2 linked regions of the Drosophila melanogaster genome follow. The protein of the gene in region 1 interacts with the protein of each later gene in a pairwise test. Each region holds a gene or a part of one and is shown on either strand. Other genes may lie near its edges.

Region 1 (3,757 bases):
TGAAACATTTGCTTGAAGCACGCTCCAGATCCCACTATGAAGGCCACGTCTTTTATTAGATCTGAGACCTTGCGTCGAAAGTCCTGCAATTCATTTGTTTTAAGATTAGTACAATTAACTTCAAGGCATTATATTAATTTAACGTTGATAATGTAGAAAACTAATCAAACTTCTTGTACTCATTTCTAAATAAACCGACTCTAGCCATAAATGCCTATTCAATTAAAATACCCAACTTCAAAGAAAACTGCTAAAATTTCTCAATATCACACACTCACAAAGAAATTGTTGTTCTCCTCGATGAGCCCGTCGTGGTCGCTCTCCATTTGCGAGTGGCGAAACAGGGCGCTGATCAGCCGCTCGATGTGCGGCCGGAATAGAACCGTCAGCTTATCCTCGTTGCGCTGGAATAGATCCTCGGAGAGTTTGTACCACAGGTGGAAGGTGATCTCGGCCACCTCGTAGTCGAAGTGTCCGACGCAAAGCAGCACAAGATCCAGTCCTTTCAAACTGTAGTGTGGCTTCTGGGCATCGGCCAATAAATCGTAGAAGAAGGCATCGCACAACGAGGTGAAAATTCGGCAGTAGTTGATCGTCTTGTCGGTGTCCTCGTGCGCCACACTCAAGTGATAGGGAGTCTCCAGCATGCAGACAGCTCCAAAGAGTTGTGCCTCGAAAGAGGACTCCGGATCGCTGGCGCCATCCTGTCGTGTGTTTATGCAGGAGAGCAGCGCACACACGCATTCGGTGGCATTGTCGTGCAGTTTTCCACTGGTCTCCGGCAGCGAGAGCAACCGGAAGGCCAGCTGTGTGAGGGCGTTGTTGTACACGTGCGAGACGGGAAAGGCATGGATCACCAGCCAGGCACTGTAGGTGCGCAACGCCGCATTCCACACGCGCTGCTGGTCGAGATCCTCCCGCTGTAGGCACATACACAGGAACTTTAGGACACACTCTGCGCTGGCGTCCAGCTGCTTGTGCACCTCCTCGCGCCGATTGGCGCCCAGCCGCAGATACCGTGAGTCTATTTCCTCGGGAAGCACCTTGAGCACCTCCAGCAGGGGCCAGATGGCGCACTGATGTGGCGCCAGTGTCACCAGAAGATCGTTGATCGGCTCCCGCCAGCTGGCCATCAGCAGGGCCAGATCGGCAACCGCCAGACTGAGCTGCGTCACAATCACATTGTCCGTCTGCTCGTCGATCTGGCCTATGTGTGTGATCAGTGAATCCCGCAGAGATTCGTGCGTGTGCGGTGGCAGTTCGCTGAAGGAGTTCTGTATCTTGTTCCGCATGGTCTGCGCAGCAAAGTAGTTGGCGTGCAGGTCTCGTTTCTGGTGAAGCAGCTCGTCCGCAATCGTCCAAGAATAGATCTTTAAGGAAGTCCAAAAAAAAACTTAGCAATCGCACGAAGGTTTCGTACACCGGGCGATTATCACTCACCGACTTCTGGAAGTCCTGGAGCCATTTGTTGGCCTTCTCCTGCTCCTTGGGATTGTTGCCTTGGAAGAGGGCGCTGATTGCTTGGTACACCACGTCCACCGAGTACGTATCCATTTCATCGGCAGCTTTAATCAGCGCATAAAATTTCTTAATTACTTATTATTATACTTTATTAGCGATGGCTGATTGCGTACATCCCGTGTATCGATAACGCAAGGAGGTGGCATGCGATAACTTTGAAAGGTGAATGTCCGATAGTCTGCAGGACTTTTTGAAATTATTCAGGGTTGTCAAGTGCGTCAAACATTAAGGACCATTAAAAATAATTAAAATATTTTTACAGTCAAATATTTTTTAGCTTATGTGAATTCGTTTTTTGAGCAATAAAGCTACTCGGTTTTTATATCTTAATACTTGCCACCCCTATGTAGTCGATACATCGATACCATTGGTTGCTCGCAACAACATCTCTAATCAGTTTTCTGATCAGAATTCTGCAATGGATTCGGACAGCACCGTGACTTCCTTGGAGGAGAACACGGAGAACTTTTGCACGAATCCCACGCGCGACATCCTCGCCGAGGGCATCACCAATCTCTTCAAGCCGACGATCGAGCGGTTGGACGAGCGCGTGGCCTCCACCATCCAGCTGCAGGCTGAGCTGCGTGGCCAACTGGATGCACTGGCCGCCCAGCTGAGGGACATCGAAAAGGCGCAGAGTCAGATACCCGAGTTCGCGGACAAGGTGAAGGAGCTGCTGAACGTCAAGCACAAGGTGACGGTCATAAGCAACGTGTTGGTGACCAGCCAGGAGCGGCTGACGGGTCTGCACAAGCTGATAGAGAAGGAGCAGCGGCGGCGACAGGCGCTTCTCGATTCCGCGCTCAGCACCAACATATCCTAAATCCAATTACTGTTCGTCATGGAGACGCCCTACACCGACCACTTGAGCCCAGAAGATTTCGAGCACGTTTACGAGCCAGCGGAGGACTCGTTCCTGCTGCTGGATGCCCTGGAAAAGGATCTGGAGTACCTGGACCGGCTACAGCCGAGTCTCTGCGTCGAACTGGGCTCCGGTTCGGGTGTGATCATCACGGCGCTGGCCAAGAAACTGGCTGGCTTTTCGCTGTGCCTAGCTACGGATATCAATCCCAAAGCCTGCAATGCCACTCGAAGAACTGCGACTCGGAATGGCGCTCGCTTGGATAGCATTCGCTGCAGCCTAGCGGATGCACTGCGTCCGCGATCCGTGGACGTGCTGCTCTTCAATCCGCCCTATGTAGTCACCAGTGACGAGGAGCTGCAGACGCAACAGTTCGATTCGCACAGCGAATCCTCAACGGATCGCAATCTGGTTTTCTCCTGGGCTGGTGGACAGGACGGGCGACGCGTCACGGACATTCTACTCAAGCAATTGGATGACATTCTTTCGCCTCGAGGCGTGCTCTACCTACTCCTGCTGCGGGAGAACAAGCCGGAGGAGATTATCAAATACTTAGAGGGCCTCCAGTTCCGGGCTGTTAAGTTCATGGAGCGACGCATTCCTGGCGAGCATTTGTGCATACTGAAGGTCACCAGGTACTTGGCATCATCATGACTCGTGCAATAGCATCAAATTAAAGTTGTATTTTAATTAAAAGATAAACTTTTTTAGGCGTTTATTCTTAAATTTGATACTAAATAATATGGAGAATAATTTTAATAAAAGTTGAAATAAATGAAAGAAATGGCTTATGAAACTTAAAAGCTCTTAAACTTTTAGAAATTTTTGCGCTTATATTTGAATTTGAATATAAAAGTAGCTCAACTTCATTTGCCCAACGAAGAGCCCGGAATTTCATCATTCGTTTTTTTAATAGGCATCTGCTAAGGCTAATCGATTTTCAATCCGAAAAAGGTACTTAATCAAAGGAAATTTCCGATTGAATTTTTCCATCATCCCTTAGTATATGATTTCTTTCATAGGGAGGATTGTGGGAACCAGCTCGTCAACCCCCGAACGAAAACTGGGATATGGAAGGGATGGATCGGAGTAATGTAGGGGCGGCCAATCTATGAATTATGTACCTACATACGTACATGCTCCTGGCTAAGAACTACTACCCCTGGGAACACCGAAGCGAGGTGATTGCCCCACCCAAAATGGCCAACTGCAATTGAAACAAACTTTTATTGGCATCGGAACAGATGCCAAATGGGTGGTATGTACGTACGGTTTTCGCTTTTACGTAATTACAATAATTTATTTCATCGTTCAAAATTGTTTCTTATTCTCGTTTTCGATTCGTGGTTCTTTTCTCTTTTTGCCCTTTCGCGC
Region 2 (3,072 bases), on another chromosome or scaffold:
TATATTCCTTTTTTGGAAACCAAATGTGTAGACAAATTTTGCGACCGACTCGCCGGGCAGCCTGAGTCGTTATGAGCTCGGGAACGAAAGCCCCAGATACGTGTGACAGCAAAAAGGCAAGCCAACTACATGAATTTCCTGACTGCTTCGATCCTCGAAATTTTCACATTATCATCACTCCGTAGAATGTTTGATTTTCACCGCTTAATTTATGATATAATTGCATATTTGGCGATTCAATGCAAACATTCACAAATATTTGCCACAAAACGCGTCTGCCACCAGAAGGCCAATCGGGCGTGGGATTCGGTGCCAAATGTAACGTTTAACGTTGGTAAAGCACAGTTTCGACTAATATCTGACTTTGCAGGATACGGATTGCGACCCTGTTACAGCTGCTACTGCGTCGATTACCCGGATGTTCAACAATTGGCAAGGCCCTCTTTACGTATATAATTAAAGTGCATACTTTAAGACCGAGATGTATATATGTGTCCAAACGCTTTAGCCGCCGTTGCACAGTACAAAAAGCCCCATGGAACATGATAATTTGTTAACTTCCCTACCAAATAATAACCAAATAAAACAAAAGGATACACTGTTCTGTTAAGGATTATTCTTCTTATCTGAAGTGTGGGTTTGGCGGTTTTCAAAGGTTCATCGGTTTGGTGAGGATCCAAGCGAGCAGCGAAATCTGGTTTCCCTGGCGCCTCAGAATGGCGCTTTCGATGCCATCGTGCAGATTGATTTGCACTTGGGCAAAGAATTCCGGATCGTTACGTTGGTACTGGCTGCCCAGGAAGATGTTCAGCTCTGTGTCAGTCATGGGTCGGCTAGTATGCTCCAGGACCATTATAATGGACTTAAGTAGGTTGGGTACCAACCGACGTTTCGGCAGTGTCGTGAAGATGTCGGCCATGTTTAATTTTTTTGTCGTTTTTTTTTGTGATTTTTTTTTTTTTTTTGGGAAACCAAATGTAAAAGTATAGAAAAATTTTGTTACTGACTCAACGGCTGGCCTATATCGTTATTAGCTAGGTAGGGGAACGAAAGTCCCAGCTATTTGTGACAGTAAAAGGCAATGCCAACTACATGAATTTTCAGCCTGCTTCGATCCTTGCTTTTTGGCCTTCTTGCCGGTGTGCTTCAACAGCATGGCCAATTAATCAGATGGCGACTGTGGCGGGTTGAACTTGAATGACCTCGAGGCATAAAAACGAAAACTGCAACAACAAAGGCAACAGCCAGAAAAGCAACAAAGAGCAGGAAACACAGCAACTAAAGAAAGGCTGATCGAGTTGATAGTGTCTTCAATAAATTAAAATACCCACTAAAGTATCTTGATTTGCAAGTTAAAGTGCGCCTCTTATTTTGTAACTTTTAGATTTTGCGTTGCAAAAATACATGTATATTTCTATTGCATCTTTGGGTGCAACAATTTTCCGAGTGTAGCCAGGAAGCGAAGGGCCCACAAACATCAAGTGACATTCGAGCAGAGACAAAAAGTCATTATCACGGCGACGTCGGGCCGCTCTCATCTCCACATCTCCGCATCTCCACCACTCGTGCCCACGATCTCGGCCATATATACATATATGTATGTATACCCAGGATCCCCTTCGCATTCGCATTCGCATTCGCCTCATGTTCAGCATATGGAGCACGTGGTTTGGAGTCATAGTCATCGCCATAGTCGCCACCGTCTTTGTCGCCATGTTTTTTGCCTTTTCCGGCATTTTGTTTACGATTACTTTTTGTTTTTGTGCTTTTACGTAGCATCTGTGCAGCTCAGGAGTGCATTGAAGGGGGATCGGTGTAATTTGAGTTATTGGTTGCTATACAGTAAAATATAAAGGGCAGTATTGAGCGAAAAGAAGCCGCCGGTAATCATAACAGTTTTAAGTTTGTGACAAAATCGTACACAGCATATTTGCTGAGATGTTTTACTGTATAACTAATTTAGCCGAAACTCTTCGTTCCAAGCACTAGGTATCGTTTAGTCCAAACATCAATACGATAACTTTCTTATTTGTTTTATTTGGCGTAGAGTTCTCTGCGCTCCCCAGCGTACGCGGATTTCCTTTCGAGATGGAGTTGGTAGACGGCAGTTTTCCCTGAATGATTTTCACTTGTTTGTTCTTGTTGTGTCCTCGTTGGCTGCTTTGTTCGCTTGTTCGGCTGGCCCAGGAGAAAGCCGACCCTGTTTTGCAGGACCTCCGTCCGGGATATATACACATACATATGTATATATACCGCCCAGTATTGCTCTGGGCCCCCTTCATCAGGAGCAGCCGCCAAGTGCAATTGTCATAAAGTGTCATTGGCTGACGTCGCGTCCTCGCGTCCTTTGTACAGTTGTTGGTGCGGTGAATCAACTTAAATGAGTATCCGCTTTGTAACTACAAGTGCGTGGCTTCGTTTTGTTCCCTTTTAGCTAACATCTTTTACCCAACAACCGGCGGGGAAAATAGAAAGAGTGAGTTAGAAGCCGGCCAATTGGCTTTGTGTGCGACTTAGCTTTGTTTTGGACCCCAGGTCTAGGTCTAGGACTAGGACTAGAGCTCGACTGAAGGATAAAGGATTCGGGCTACAGGATGCATGAGAAAAATCGCAGACAAAGGGCTCCCATTTCAGTGAAAGCAATTGAGCGAAAAAAAGCCCCAAGTCTTAATCCAAAACAACCGAATAGAATAAACTCTTTTTAAGTACAGATATCTAAAATTAGTAACTTTGTATTAATAAAAAATCATAATATGTATGTCATTATAAGCTACGATTTATATCTAGTCTCTATAAATGGCTGTATGATTCACATTTGGTAATCAGCACATAAGAGCTTAAACACACCTCTTTTTTAAACCCCTACGCTGCAATTACAAATCTACTTTGCAACTTTTTCGCGCGAGCACAACTGTACTTTTGGCATCTATGCAAAAGCGTGGGATAGCAAATGGAAAAGTGATTTATGGTAGCAACACTGCCGCATCGCACGGGTTGGTGTTGAGGTGGGGTCGGTGTTGAGGAGTTCAGGAGTTGAAGACGAAAAGGCTCCACCGTCCTTAAGCGGCTTAT

Evidence for each region. The genes of interacting proteins can lie anywhere in the genome.
Region 2: the proteins of Tnpo-SR (region 1) and CG15578 interact in a two-hybrid assay, tested with the Drosophila melanogaster proteins (one large-scale study listed by BioGRID).

What each region holds. Positions count from the first base shown.
Region 1 is NT_033779.5:2,757,830-2,761,586, reverse strand, and holds the start of Tnpo-SR (Transportin-Serine/Arginine rich), read right to left. Parts: upstream 1,664-3,757; 5' UTR 1,555-1,663; coding exon 1,441-1,554; intron 1,371-1,440; coding exon 279-1,370; intron 84-278; coding exon 1-83. Other genes in the region: Snapin (SNAP associated protein), read left to right, coding at 1,940-2,344; HemK2 (HemK methyltransferase 2), read left to right, coding at 2,363-3,037.
Region 2 is NC_004354.4:4,276,944-4,280,015, forward strand, and holds CG15578 (uncharacterized protein), read right to left. Parts: upstream 1,019-3,072; 5' UTR 920-1,018; coding exon 650-919; 3' UTR 604-649; downstream 1-603.